Linked DNA regions of Tamandua tetradactyla. The protein of the gene in region 1 interacts with the protein of each later gene in a biochemical or structural test. Links are inferred from orthologs where the notes say so. Each region holds a gene or a part of one and is shown in the gene's direction. Other genes may lie near its edges.

Region 1 (7,991 bases):
CATGATCTCCTAAGTACAGAAAACCCTGAAAGCATACGTGACCATGTTCCCATCTCAAAACAAAAAAATGTTCTTGTTGACTGAAACAACAGGTCTTTGCCTTCTTTATTCTCTTTGAAGTAGACTGCTTGGGATAACTTTCTTAAGAAAAATAAAAATGCGAGCTACCATGTTTTAGGTGGTTCTGTTCTGTAATTGCTACCCTCAAGGCACAAGTCATTCCCTGGCTCGACAGATGTCCTCCAGAAATCCTTCCAGGAAAAGAGACGAGTGGTGGCTGAAGGAGGGTGGGTTACTTCATTCTTGCCCTAGTAAGCTTAGTAGAAGTGTAACACATCGAAATTCAGGGGAAGGTGTCTTTCTCTCCCCTCCCCCCCTTTTCGACACATACAGCGTAATGGAGCTCAGATTCGGCTTGTGGCTGCACTCTGGGGAGCAGCTCTGGGGAGCACTCTAAACCGCCACTACTTGACAGCAGAGAGTGAGTAGGGCGCCCCAATGTTTCCGTGCTGCGGATGGCTCGCCGCGATTTCAACTGGCTGGAACACTGTTTACACACGAGCCCTCGCAATTATTCCTTTACACAAAATTTTACAGCTGTGAGCCTCTTGTGAATAAAAGACTGCACACTTAACATTGGCATCGATAACAGCTCATGTAGAGAAGCTGACTACGTGAAAACGATTTCAAAAGTTAGGGATGACTACAGTTTTCCTTTGTGTCTTCAAGTCAGAAGAATGAAATGGCCAAGGAGACGAAGCTGTAGGTGGCACGAGTCTCGAACCAGGTAAGTTTAAAGTGGTTTAAATCCACTTTACAAGTTACTATCAAGAAATAGGAATTTCTAACAAGCTCTGTAAAAATATATTGTAGGTGCAACTTAATTTAAGTATGTTACACTCCAACATAAAATATTTAAAGATTTGAAAAGGGTACTTTTTTTTCGAAAAGTTAGTTTGAACTTGCTAAGCTTGGCTTTAGCTAAATGGCTAATATTGTTTTTCAAGGTGTGAAATACATTTGCGTTTTAGAAGGAAAGACTAGCTTTGACAGGGCAATGGTAGGCAACACAAAATTCATTTTTAGATCAGTATCATGCACTTCCTAACACTCACATTTATACCCAGATTTCATGTTTACAAGTACAAAAGGCAAAGAACCACAAAGACTCGAGGCAACTACTTTTGGTAGTTAATGCTGTTGTCCCCAACCCCCATTTTCTAAATCCAGGAGAAAACTCAATGCCAGCCTGCACGTGGAGTCCCTTTTAGAAGGTGGAGGCCGTGTGTGGTTCTGCACAGGCCTGGGTTTCCACAGAACTGAACCGACACTCCATCGTGTTCCGGACAAATCAGCCAGAAGGAAATCATCCACGGCTGAGTTTCATTGCTGGTGAAAAACAAGCTCCCCAGGGTTTCAAAACACAATTCATCGTCTGGGTATCTGCCTGTTCAACTGAACTTTGCTTTCCAGAGCAGGGAGGTTTTTAGTGGGAATCCCTTCTGTTTGGGTTTCTGTGTCAGATGAATCAGTGCTCATGGGAAAGCTGGAGTGTTTCAGAATACTGCCCAGAGGCAGCTGAGAGCTACTCCTAAAAGAAGCTTAAGTCTGTCTGTCTGCGTATCAAACTTTTCAAGACCTAAGAGTTAGCATTCCCCCTGCAGCTGCAGGGCTGAGCAGAGGGGTCTGCGAGTAAAAAGTCAGTCTGGGGCTCTGTGTCCAGGGATTACAACACTGGTTCAGTGTTCACACTGCTGAGTTCAGGCTCTCCCACTTGAGTTTGGATGTTTGAGGCTGAAAAGAACTCTTCAACATCAAAATCCATCCGGGATTCTGGGTTGGGCCTGGGTGTCGGGTCCGGTGTTTGTGTCGGACAAAAGTCTGCGATGGTCCAATGTCTGGCCCGGCAGGTTACTCGACAAGAGTTTTCCAAATCGCTTAAGAAGCCCACAGTTCGGGTCTGATACTCTGCCATGCTTCGTGAGGGAAGCGCACTGTCCTGCTTACCGAAGTTCAGAATTGGTGCAGATTTCTCAATATCTTGATTTAAAGACTTAGGGTCATTCTGAGGTAACAAACCATGAGTTATAGTCTCGGCTACCAAAGTGCTGCTTTTAATATTGTCTGTAGAAACCTTGCATGAAGAATGGACGCCCTCAAAAACGTCTCCACACACTTCCGCTTGGTCCGTGTGGCCCAGGCCATCTGTGGAACTTTGCACGCCACTGATTTGAGTCTCTTGGAGATACCACCTGCCTGGAAACAAGCCTCTAAAGTATCACCAGTCTGAGGGGCTGTCAATGACGTTTCTTTAGCACTTGGTGACAACGTTTGAGTCTGAACACTAATGGAAAGTGAAACTGGAGAACTGAATGTCAAATCCATTTGTGAACAGACAGGGGAGAGGCGTCTGGGGAAGCCCGCTGGGCAGAGGTGCGAAGCCAGGTGAGGCCTAAGGCAGGTCTGTCTGCACACTGATGGAAGAAGTGCTGTCCCCTACACATGCTCCCTAGTTGCTGTAAAGTGGCAGGTGGACTTTCACCCACGCTCACGTGAACATCTGCACGAATTGGCTCAGCAGCCGTGGGACTCACAAGGTTTGAGAAGCAGGCTCTCCCTGAGAGAGCAAGCGTCTGAATCTAGGCTGAGGGTCGGGGTGGCTATGGACAAGGAGGCCAGTGAATGGTGCCCGTGGCAGAGCCCTGCTGACCCCCACCCACTGCTGCGGCTGGGCTGAGGGGTCGACTGTCCTAGGCATAGAGACACACTTTGGGTTTGGTAACAGCAGCTTCTGAGGATGTCTTGGAGCAAGGAGTCTTCAAAGGAAGCTCCTAGCTTTACTTCTGAAGTTTTGGTTCTTGTGTGTCTGGTGTGGAGGATGGTTTATTGACAGTGATTCAATGGTCTTTTTTGACAACTTCTGGTTGTTCCTGGAGTTCTCCATTTTCCTTTCCTTCCTGGGTGGGTCTTGTGGCCAGTTGGGTAGATGTGTGACCGCAGGGCAGTTCCGCTGACGTAAGGACAGCGCGTGCACACTGGAAGGTCCTGCCACAATCCCTGCATGTCTTTTTAAATCCCACCCAGACCATAAGAACTTACTACAGTTGTGCTTCTTTTCAGCATTTTCACAGGGTGCTGTTTAACAAGAGAGAATTGAGAAAATGGTCTGTCTGGGCCTCCAGGGCGCCCTTCCACTGGACGGCAGTAGAATTTCCATACAGGTTTCAAATCTTCCTTAGAGTTGGATTTACTGTGCTGTTCGCAGGCAGTGGAATTTCCATACAGGTTTCAAATCTTTCCTTACAGCTGGATTTACTGTGCTATTCGCAGGCAGTAGCTCTTGACCAGGCACATGTCCAGCGCCGGGCTGCTGGGCAGGATCCTGGGCACCTGTGCATGCCCCAGAGGTGGGTGTGCCGGGCCTGGAGGTGGGTGCTCATGGCCCGGAGGTGGGTGTGCACGGCCCAGAAGTGGGTGTGCATGGCCCGGAGGTGGGTGTGCACGGCCCGGGAGGTGGGTGCTCATGGCCCGGAGGTGGGTGTGCCGGGCCCCAGAGGTGGGTGTGCCGGGCCCGGAGGTGGGTGCTCATGGCCCAGAGGTGGGTGTGCACGGCCCGGGAGGTGGGTGTGCAGGGCCTGGAGGTGGGTGTTCATGGCCCGGAGGTGGGTGTGCACGGCCCGGGAGGTGGGTGTGCATGGCCCCGGAGGTGGGTGTTCATGGCCCGGAGGTGGGTGTGCACGGCCCGGAGGTGGGTGCTCATGGCCCGGAGGTGGGTGTGCCGGGCCCCAGAGGTGGGTGTGCCGGGCCCGGAGGTGGGTGCTCATGGCCCAGAGGTGGGTGTGCACGGCCCGGGAGGTGGGTGTGCATGGCCCCGGAGGTGGGTGTGCACGGCCCGGAGGTGGGTGCTCATGGCCCGGAGGTGGGTGTGCAGGGCCTGGAGGTGGGTGTGCCAGGCCCAAGACAGCTCATCCAGGCTGGGTCGGCTCCTGGGCGGGCAGTGCGGGGGTTGCGGGCTGCTGCCCCTCAGCGGTTCCGGGGGACCCCGCGGGCCTGATGCATCGGGGGTGCCCGCAGGGCAGCAGGGCGGATCTTCTTCTTCTTTTTTTTATTAAGGCATTATTATATCGCTCACCTATCGCAGGCGCACAGTTTGACGGATGTTGGTAATTGTGGACATTTTCTGTAGCCAGCCCTGCACTCAGGTCTGAAACATCGCCTTCATCCTCCCGCTGGCCCTGCGTGGAGAGGGGTCTAGCGGCCTAACGGCTGACCGCCCGCGGTGGACAGAGGAAGGCCCGGGACGCACCTGCCTTAGACGCGGCCAAGGGGCACTGCGGCCTGCGGCCACGGCGACAGGAACTGGGCCCGGGGTAGAGAAGCCCCCAGCGTCACGAGAGTCCCTAACAATGCCCACGGGTGACGAGGGCAAAGGACACTCGTGGAAAGCCAGGGGCCCTGCACCGCCGCCGGGGAGCGGCGTCTGCACCCAGCGCTCCGACCCAGGGCCCCCACCCCCGCGGTCCCGCGGCCCTGCGGCCCTGGAGCCCGAGGCACAGCCCCGATTGGACGGCGACTCGGGGGTCGGAGGGTCGCTCCTAACCGTGATCCCTGCCCTCCCGGGCCGGCGCTGCCCCGACCCCCGGCCCCGCAGCTGCTCCCCACGCCCCCCGCAGCTGGGCGGGCCTGAGGGCTGGAGGGGCAACGGGGAGACACCTGCCAGAAGGCGGGACAGCAGAAGCTTCCCCCTCAGGTGAGAGGGACCGGGGGAGCGAGGAAAGTGCGGACACTAGAAGGAAGGAGGTCCCGGAAATACGGCCAGGTGAGGGGAGGGCGGGGGCGCGCGCTCCCTGGGTCTGGCCCCCTCCCCTAGGCCGGACCTGCTGTGGGCCCGCCTCCGCCCCCGAAGCCCCGCCCCTCCTCCGTCCACCTCCCCACCGGGCCCTGGGCGGGGCAGGGGCAGGTGGGCGGGAGCCGAGGGCTTCCCAGGCCTCCCGGCCGGGCCGAGCGGACCAGCAGCTGCGGGCCGGCGGCCACGTGGACTCCTGCGGCGGGTTAAATACTTCGCCTTCGGGCTGCCCTTTGCTCCGGGCGCAGGTGCGGCGCAGCCTCGTGTCCAGGACCAGGTAGGAGCCGCGGCGCCGGGCGGGCAGGTCCCGGCTGCTACCCGCTTGGGTGCTGGCCGCGGGGGCTGGGGAAGGACGCGCCTCACCACGCGCAGGGGAGCCGGGGGCCAGGTCGGCTCTGTCCTTCGGGGATTTCCACTCTTTGCGTCTTGGATGCGTGTGGAAATCAACGCCAGTTCTTTTTCTAAAGGCCCCAAATAATTCGGATGCGTGGGCAGCGTGGGACCCACTCGCAGCTCGTTTCCTAACCAGAGCAGCCCTCCTTAGAGGGCTCGGATAGAACTTTCCGCTCAGAGTTTAAGGCTCCGGCGGGGCGGTCCGGGAACGCCTTCCTCCTTCGCAGTTTCTGCACCGCAATACCCACGCGCGGCCTCGTCCCCACACAGCGGCTCCCACGCACACGGCCCCATCCCCACGCGGCGCCACCCACCGCGGCACCTATGCACGTGCAGCCCCGTCCCCACGCCGCGGCACCCACAGTGGCACCCACGCGCGCGCAGCCCCATCCCCACGCCGTGGCACCCAGAACGGCACCCACGCGCGGCCTCGTCCCCACGCGGCACCACCCGCTGCGGCACCCACGCGCGCGCAGCCCTGTCCCCACGCCGCGGCACCCACGCATGCGTGGCCTCGCCCCCACGCACCGGCTGGCCTGGGCCACGGCTATTTAGTTACCTAGAGTCATATGTTCTTCTCCTGAAGCAAATAACTCAGGGACTTTGAGTTTTTGTTATGACTAAATTATTCTTATCTGTGGCTCTTTCTTATGCCCTTTTCAAAATAAAATATGAAGTAATTACTAATGATGTCTTAAATTCACAGACCACTTGCTAGGCCACTTGCCCTCTTAAGGGGGCAAAAAACCCACAGGGCTGATTGGATTACAAATAGCTGGGCTCTGGATCACCTGGAAGTGATCAGGTCGTTAGGCAGCTCCACCACTCTGAGCCTCAGTGTCCTCTTCTATCAAAGGAAGACCCTGAATCTGCCCCAGGATTGCACTGAAAATAAAATTATATACATGAATGTGTTGGGGGGACCAAAAGCACAAACATAAAATGCCTAAATTACAGGTGTGATACCCAAAGGCTTTGTGGAATGTTGTGAAGACAGAGCCTTGCAGTCAGGGCACCTCGTCTGAGTCTCGTGATCTCTCCACCACCTGGAAATAGGAGTCGAGTCGCTAATGTCCTTTCCTGCTTACCAAGAATCAAGTCCAGGCTGGAGCTTGGGAACTAGAATTGTCATTCTATTAGCTGGTCTGTTATTTATCTTCTTAGCAGAACTAGGACTGTTAGCCCCAATGCTAACAAGTAGGTAGGCTGAGAAGCATTCTAGAACCTCAGCCCTCTGCGTTCCCACTTTATCCTTTAGGGCACTGAGGTCCCTGGTTTCAGGGACCCCTCCTTGGGCCACCAACTCTTGAAGTGGTCTCCTTTCTCATGGCATGGCTGGCTCCTTGTCCTTTGAGTATGAGTTGGCGTTATCTCCTCGGGGGACTTTGTAAATCAGCCTGGCCCCTCCACCCCACCACTGCCTCTCATTGTTCCTCGGCATTTCCATCTTCCTGACTTGCCCCCTTTGCCTGATGTTAAGCTTCTGGAGAGCAGGGATCTTGTCCTGGCTCTTATCTCCTTTATCCCCAACCCTCAGAACAGTGGCCAGCACAGAGGAAATGATTAGATGCTGGGTAAATGGAAGTTAGCGTGCCAGGGAAAGAGCTTGAACAGTGGAACGCAGTATACTTCGGTAAGCTGCTGCTCAGAAAAACAGGCTGAGGAACTCAAGCTGGTTTGGGTCATTTACAGTCGAGAATCTGATCACATGGTAACTGGCTTCTCTGGCCACATCCTGGTTCAATGATTTTCCCACTCACTGCACAGGAATTTGATGAGTAACAAAAGCTGGAGCTAGGCCTGTTTCCTCCAGATCTCAGCAGCCCCTTTCCTTTCGCAAGGGGCTTCCCAGATCCCCATCACCCCTTTGCCTGGTAGGTTTCATGGCTAAATATTTAGCCATGGGAGGAATTTGGAATTGGAAACCTGAATTCCAGAGCAGACTCCACCTTTTACTCTAAGCCTTTAATTCCTTGAGGTGGGTGTAATCGAATTTAGCTCCTAGAGTGTGGGGTTCGATGGGGGAATGGACAGAGTGCCTCGCACAGCCTTGGAGCAGCTTATTAAGTTGACGCTCTGGGAGTTTGCAGTGTGCATGGCTCCAGGGAAGGAAGGAACCCGGGCAACAGCAATGAGTTGTGATAAATAGAAACGATGCCCCTAGCCTACTGGGTGGCTGCTGTGGATGGTTTGGTCTTGGCCAGAGTCAGGCACCGGCTTCTGGGCGCTGGGCCTGGTCAGATGTGCGGTGCTGTGTTCATGAAGCTGGGTGGACGATGGGCTGCTCGGGGCCATGGGGGAGCAGCAGTAACGGCCCGGGAAAGTCTGCGGCCTTCTACCAGCTGTGCTGTATGGAGGACAGAGAAGGGTGCTGGGACCTGCCCCTCCATGCCAACGTGGACACTGAAGCTCCTCTGTGACAGGCACCTGCGGGCCAGCCGAGTTGCTTTCTGGTTTTTCTGAACTGCTCCCTGTTCCCTGAACGCAGCTGTACCTGCATGGGTCCCTCTCGGCACACCATCCCTGCTGACTGCCTTGGGGCTCCTGTCCTCGCCTGACCACGCGGGCAGGGCTGGGAGGCTGTGGGGGCGGGAAGGGCCCGGCGGACGGGCTGGGTTCCGCGCTGTGCAGGTGTCAGCCTCTGAGTCCCCTTCCTTGTCTGACGGGCGGCGAGGGTGGAGGGAGAGCCAGGCGGTACCCAGCAGTGCCTGGCGCCCGGGAAAGGAGTAGCAACGATAAAACTGTCTCCCTT
Region 2 (7,718 bases), on another chromosome or scaffold:
AGCCAGATATTTCAAACTACCACAGTTAACCAAGCCCCAGCCAACAGTATTCCTGAAAACCCTAAGGAGTGACTTAAACTCTTTCTAATTCTCTAGAAAAATTTTTCTTAGTTAAGCTTATATTTTCAGGAACATAAGGCCTCCATATTGTTCCTATGCCAGATAAGCCCTGAAACCAGAGATGCCAGTCTCTTCAGGTATTTCCATCTGACTATTCTGATACACTAGGAACTAGAAAGAAATATATATAACCTATATCAGTAGTCATAAGCATTTGTTAAATCTGAATTTCTCAGTTATACTTTCTCCCTCTCATTTGATCTTTCAGATGGAAATACCTAGAATTGTTGAACTGTAATCCAGTAGCCTTGATCTTTGATATGATTGTATAACTATATTGCTTTTATCATGTGACCATGTGATTGTAAAGACTGTGTGACTGACATTCCCTCTATCCAGTATATGGGTACATAGGTAATAAAATAAAGATATGCATGAAAATAATAACATCAGGAATATGGGAAAAAATACTCCTACTTAACTCTGAACAATAATTATAGTATTACTTTAATAATCTTTCACCAAGAGTAACAAATGGAAGTACTGTCAAAAAAAATGCTGACATTTAAAAAATGTGTTATCAACTGTAACAAATTTTCCACACCAATGCAGTGTTGGTGGTGGGGTGGTGTATAGGAATCCTGTATTTCCTGAGTGATTGTTCTGTAAACCTACAACTTCTCTCATGAAAAATAAATAAAAAGCAGGGCTTGCACTTCTGGTATATTCTCAATATAACCCTTACAGGATGCATAAATGGCCTGGATGCTCAGTAAAAACTGAGGGTGGTTCATTAGTTCATCAAATGGGCCTCTGGCTAATTTTCTCTATTAATAATACACATTTTACCATATGTAAGTGTGATCAACATTATTACCCCACATCTTGGACATATGACCTTTGTTTTTCCAATGAAGAAGTCTAATGTTGAGTATAATCTTTGCATTCCAAACAACATGGGCTTTTCGGTTAAAATGCCTGAGGTTTTTATTGAAATTTTATATTATGTATGGAGAAGTATTAAACCATTCCCACACTTTTACCCTGTAGCATTGCTCTGAAAACTCAGCCAAAGGATATATATAACCTGAGAGTGGGGGAAGCTTTATGCCCAAAGATACTCATTCTAGCATTATTTATGAAGTTTTTTTTTTTTAATTCAGATTCATGGTCAAAGCTAGAGGAAGACTGACATTAGGAATCTGAGACAAATGTAACTAACCAAAAAATGGAAAAAAGCTAAGCACATTATGTATCTATAATGCAACCATAAAAAATATATTTACAAAGGGTTAATTTGGCATGTTAAAATGTTTATAACGTTTCCTACAAATAGAGTAGCAACCGTATTACAAATAATTGTACACAATTCAAATATTTAAAATCTACTAATAACAAATAGTCATAGGGAAAGAAAACCAAAAGAAATGCTCCCCAAACTTTCATTGTTTGTTCTTCCTTTTATATGTGTTTTTCCCCATTTATATATAATGTCTATGCATTGCTTTCATAATAGAGAAAAAATATCATTCCATTATAGAAAGACAGAAAGAAATACGGAACAAGTCTGGGGTGGGGAGGGAGAATGTTATATAAAACTAAAGTATGTATAAATTCCTATTCAAAAGTTCAACATTTGTTGACACAGATGATGACATTCAATATTTCCCAAGTGTTTTTCTCAAGTAGAGTCGGTACTTGTCCTTTAAGCTCACTTTGAGCTTGGTATTGAAAACTAGCAAGGAAGTAACAAATAAGATTTTTTTTCCTTTGCTTCAACTCTACTGAGAGTGATCTGGTCCCCTTAACTTATGTCCCTAATGCAAGTTGGAAATTTGAAAATAGTTCCACATTTCTTTATGGCTCATTGGTTAGGGTAACTAGGAAATGCAGGAATATAGGAACAAGTAGTAACAAAGGCTTTTTAATGTATGGTCCTTGACATTTCAACATTTTCTAAAACAAGCCTCAGAAATGAGCTTCTGAAGTAAGCTTTACTGTTTGTACTTCACAGCTGATGTAATGGGTTCATAGATGTAAAGTAATTTGCCTTAAGTGACAAAGTGACAGGAATGAAACACAGGACTCCTACCTTCCAACTCGGTAAGTATACTGTCTGCTATTTTGCCTTTATTACAATACTCTTGTCAGTCACAGATAACTGAAAAAAACTTGACTTCTGAGTAGGTAGCTGTCTTGGTGAGTTATCAAACAGCCCCTCAAAGAAGGCAACACTGCTGCTCTCGCTGACCCAGCCAACCCAAATTACACGTCCCCCCACAGGTGGCCTGTTCTTGGGCAAGAATACAGTGGAACCAAAGAATTTAAGTAGGATGGGTCAGGAGGCCCTGGGAAGGGTCAGGGCCTCCCTGCCTGGGAAGTGACATTGGGACTAGCTAAATAGATCAGTCAGTGGCTGGGGAGCCCTTTTCCCTTGCATCCAGGGCAGACAGAAATGTAAGCTCTGTTACAAAGAAAGCAAGTGTGGCTAACTTAACTTTAAATAGATTAGTTTACAAAAAGAAAACTGAACAGTCATACCTCCGGGAAGATAAGAAGCAGGGCCACACTGAGTTCTCCAGCAAGGCCTCAGATAATCCCTTCTGGGCACTGTTTAGGTTTGCTAATGCTGCAAGAGTGCGAAGTACCAGAAATGGATTGGCTTTTACAAAGGGGTTGATTAAGTTACAAGTCACAATCCTAAGGTCATAAAAATGTCCAAATTTAGGCATCAACAAAAGGATACCTTCACTGAAGAAAGACCCATGGCATTTGGGTTCCTCTGTCTCATGGGAAGGCACATGGCGATGTCTGCTGGCCCTTCTCTCCTGGGTTGGTTTCAGAATGGCTCTCTCAGCCTCTGTGGGTCCTGCTGGCTTCTCCCGGGTTGTTTTCTTTCTCTTTGAGCTCCTCTCCACTCTGGGTTCTCTCGAAAATGTCACTGCCTTATAGGACTCCAGCAAGACCCAATTTGAATGGGTGGGATCACATCTCCATGGAAACAACCTAATCAAAAGGTCCCACCCACAATAGGTCTGTACCCACAAGATTGGATTAAAAGAGTGTGGCTTTTCTGGGGGTACATAACAGTGTCATACAGCGCAGACACTGCCATCTAAATGATAGTTTCTACCATGTCCACTATTGAATTATTCCACTCCTGATGAAATTTCCTTGGGAGAAAAAGTACATGGACTATGTTAAGCTATGTGCTACTGCCCTTTGCCAAAAGAAAAGGGATTCCCTGAGTAATTGCCCCACCATGGACTCAAGTAACAAGGGAGAATGGCTCTCCAAAGGTAGAATTACCCACATGATAGGGTTTGCCTTGGACAGACCCAGTTTATACCTGTTGTCCAGGACTAACTATAAATAGCATCACTTTCACTCATAAAATGTCCAAGATTGAATAATAAATGCCATGCTTACCTTATGTAAAGGAAAAATAGTGTGTCGTGTCCAAAGAAGGGGGAGGTGAGGCCAAGGAGATTAAAACAGCTGCCATTACAAGGAGACTATTAGAAGGGGTCAGAACAAGGTGTTTTGTTTCCAATCTCTCAGACCAAAAGATAAGAATCAGACTCAAAAGCCCTGACAGTCTTTTGCTTTTAACTCTTACATGAAAACAGCATTCCTTGCTCACTCCTTGTGTATTGAATTATTGTGGCTTTGACCCAATAGCATCATATCCTTGTCTTTGTATGCCCTTGCTGTTAAACATCTAAATGTTTAAAGTATTTTCTTTTGCCGCTTTTTTTTAAAAATCTTAATTGGTGGCCTCCTGCTTTCTAAAACAGAGTGCCAACATCCATTCACTTAGCTGGAAGGTCGAGGTGATACCAGATCCAATAATGCCCAAAGCATGTGTAGGCTCGTTACTGTATTTCTAACTGCTGGCTAATAATAAGATATTCAAATAGCTTCTTTTGATTCTGATTCCCTCTGAGAAGCTGTTCTACAAGTATGGGGTCAACGTAAAGGAAGAGGGTTTTTAATAGTTTCTCTTTTCATTAGTGCACTTAAATTACTTTCTTGTAAACTCTGCTTGTTACCTCAATGTACTAGCACTTTCGTTACCTAATTAACTTTCTTATCAGAATTCCAAGCAAAAATAACATGAAATATAATAATGATAAGGCATCCTACCCCTTCAAAACAGATTTTCTTTCATGCTTTTATCTCTTGGTACTGTTCTGGCTTGCTTAATTAAAGTATCAGAAGTTATTAGACTCAAATTATTTCTTGATCTAGTGCTCAAATTCTCCTGAAAAACTGCTGCTTCTGCCTCAGAGTTTCAACCTTTATCAGTGTGAGGCAGATGAGTTTCCACATGTGTTCAACTGAATTCTTGTTAATCCAATATAACTTCAGAGGAAGAGTCTAATTTAGCTTCTTAGTAATCAAACAAACAAATCCATTTGACTATATTGGACCGCCATAATGTTTGAAACTCATGCCTTCTTTCCTATGTTCTGGATCATCAAAATGAACACCACTTAAGTGCAAGAAAAAAAAAACATGAAATTTTAGCATGGATATGTGAAATTCAAAGCAAAGATTCTACTTGTTTTTTCAGAGGGTCAGGGTATACAAAATCACCAAATACAAACCACGAAGACAAGTTGTATTCGAGGAGGTTAGTCATGTCTGTTACAGACTTTAAAGTAACTGATGAGAAAGGGCTCTTAAATCACAGCTTTCAGAAGGAGAAAACAGCAAGACATGTTGGTAATTTTTTTTCATCGCTCTCTGTGAAAAACATTCAGGTTGGACTCTGTTTGCTTTTGGTGGAGCTGTGTGAGAGGTTCACTTTTTTTGAAGTTGTCTGCAATTTGATCCCCTTTTGCACTGTCAAGCTTGGCTATCACAATTACCAAGCAGCCATTTTGAACTTGTGTTTTACGGGAACGTCAATACTTAGCCCTGTGTTTGCAGGATGGCTCGTGGATGTCTGTCTGGGAAGAAACAAACTGGTATATATTTGCTTATTTCTACACTTTCTAGGTGAGTGTCCCGTTGACATTGGATGGTTTTGCAAACTTATTAAGTGGACTTTTGCTAGAATTTTTTTGTTTTTATCATTCTGCTTTTTTATCATACTGCATTTAATGTATAATGTTCAAAATTAAGAATGTTGCTTCAATTCATTTCGTTCTCTTTATTTTTTCAAGGATGATATCAAATATGTTGTGTGTGTTAAAGGATGCTTTGATACTATATCATTGCACTTATTATATGTTATCATAATTATCTTTACATGTCTGACTTCTGTACTCCTCAGAATAACCTTCTTTTCCCCCTTTGTAGCCCAAATTCAAATTCCTGACAAATCCCACTTGAGACATCAAATGTATTTGCTTTACAACTAAGATGAAATTTGCTAAAAAAGGTTTTGAAGTCATATAGAATAAATGAAAAATGTTTTCTTCAAAAACTGGTACTTTAGTTAACCATTTAGCAGTTAAGGTGGCATCTGAAGGCATAACTTCTATATTAAGAGCTATGGCTATAAGCTAAAAAATTGAATGAATTCATACACTAACCTTGATTCTTTACATAGAGAAAAAAGTAAGTACATTTATAAAAGTTTAGGAATAAAAAAAGTTTCGGAGTAAAGTGATTGCATGAAATGATGTTGGAGAAATATCAAGATAGCTTGATAAGGAGTAGGAAGCCAGCTGATGAACAGTCTAGAGTTTTAAGCCGAGAAATTCAAGTCGTTCTTCTAAACAACGAGGAGTCACTGAAGATAAGATGAAAACAACATTCAGAAGACGTTTTTCACTGATAAACAGGATGGACAACCACAGAGAAATAGTAAATAGAGAGATCAGAAAAACCTCAGGATAATGGTGTTGTCAATGGAAAAGCATCAATCCAAGAGAAATCATGTGAAAAATATTTTTTAATAAAACAACTTGGAAACTAAAAAAGGGCATGAATTCTCTAGAAGTACAAATTACTTCTAGTAATTAACTAGAAAAATTAATTCCAAGGGTGTGAGCTGAGGAACTTAGTGTGCTGTTCACCAAGAACAAGGAGCACAGGGCAATGTGCATTTGTGGGGAGGGAGGCCGAATGAGGAAGGGGTGGATGTCAGGCACGCAACATATCACATGACTTCAGGCAGGTGGTAAATTACCATTTGCTGAATCAAGATCAGAGTGTGATTTAAACTTGCAAACTTCTTCACTGCTTAAGTTCTGTGGAATAAAAACCAAGTCACTGCATGGCAAATACTCACTCAACATTCAACAAATATTTCTTCTTGACTACCCTGTGACAGGCGTTGTTCCAGGATCTGGGAATGTAAGAGAGTAAAAAGCAGGCTCTGCTTGGCTACAGTTTACTTTCTGGTGGGGGAGAAAGAAAATTAACAAGTAAATAGATATTACATGAGGTAATGATGAGTGTTATGAAGAAAAGTAAAAGTGAGTAAGGAGACAGGAGGGAATAGACAGTGACAGGGCTGGCTACTGTGTATTGTGAAATCAGGGAATATTTTCTGAGAGGGAGACATTTTAAGCAGAGATCTGAGTAATTTATTCTCTACTTAGTGTCAGGTTATCCTACCAGCCACATCAGTAGTGTTTGGTAAATTTTTGTTTAACATGGTGATTCCTATGGGTTCAACTTCCTATGTAAGTTATCAGACTAAGACTGAAGTCCCAACTTCTGAATTTGACAAACAAAAGGCAAAGTCAACTTCATCTCCATTCATTTTCCTATTAAAAGTCATTTCCTTGTGTTCCTGACTCACAGCTGCCATAAAATTCCAAATAGTCACTAAACCTCAGCGGTTCTATCAGAAATGCCTCTTCTGCTGGAATTGATACAACTTTAGCTCAAAAATGCAGCTTTATTTTTCTCAACCATTATGATAGCCTACTTACCAGCCTGCAAGTCATCAGTCTGACATCCTACACCATTCAAGCAACATTGGCTCCCTAAAAATAAATCTAAATACTGGCTCTATTATCTATAAGATAAAATCAAACATTAATTTAGTACATAAGACCCTTTACAATCTATTTCAAATTGGTCTCTCCAGACTTCCATCTCAGTAAATCAACCCAACCATGTTGAACTTGTTATGTTCTCCTTACTCTTCGAATCGCAATTGCTTTCTCCTCTCTACCTTAAATTGTTACCACCCCTCAGCTTTCCACCCACACCCAGGAGCTGAAAACTCCTCCTCTTCTTTCAAGACAATATAATAATTACTGCTTGCTCTTCTGTTCTTACTCAACCCCGTTCTGATCATACCTACGTGATTGTTTTTATCACATTAAAATAGAGTTGCCCACCAGCATGTCTATATTCGCTAATGGACTCATTAGCTCCTGGAAAGCAGAGCACCTTGCAGGGGCTATGACCTAGCAGGGGCTGTGCCACATCACGGTGCGTGACTCAGAGCTGCCAAGTGCAGGTATGCTGATTGTGCAGGGCAAGATAGCACCACATCAAAGAGGAGACATTTTATCACCCATGCCATTAAGTTGTATTTTCGGTTGCATCAATTTTACAGGCATTAGAAATAAAGTTTTAATTTAATAACATCATTATATTACGACATATTCCCAAAAGATGGGGGTAAAGTGTTTTTCTAACTTATACAAAGGCACCATCTGGACTAAAAGTGCCTGTCCTTAAACAAA

What was found. The genes of interacting proteins can lie anywhere in the genome.
Region 2: the proteins of PDZK1 (region 1) and SLC15A5 interact in a test that uses a peptide from one of them, tested with the Homo sapiens proteins (2 studies listed by IntAct, with this or other methods). The link is inferred for Tamandua tetradactyla from reciprocal best matches to the Homo sapiens genes PDZK1 and SLC15A5.

What each region holds. Positions count from the first base shown.
Region 1 is NC_135330.1:1,141,856-1,149,846, reverse strand, and holds the start of PDZK1 (Na(+)/H(+) exchange regulatory cofactor NHE-RF3), read left to right. Parts: upstream 1-4,973; 5' UTR 4,974-5,123; intron 5,124-7,991. UniProt on the Homo sapiens protein: A scaffold protein that connects plasma membrane proteins and regulatory components, regulating their surface expression in epithelial cells apical domains.
Region 2 is NC_135333.1:78,899,826-78,907,543, reverse strand, and holds the start of SLC15A5 (solute carrier family 15 member 5), read left to right. Parts: upstream 1-4,703; coding exon 4,704-5,064; intron 5,065-7,718. UniProt on the Homo sapiens protein: Proton oligopeptide cotransporter.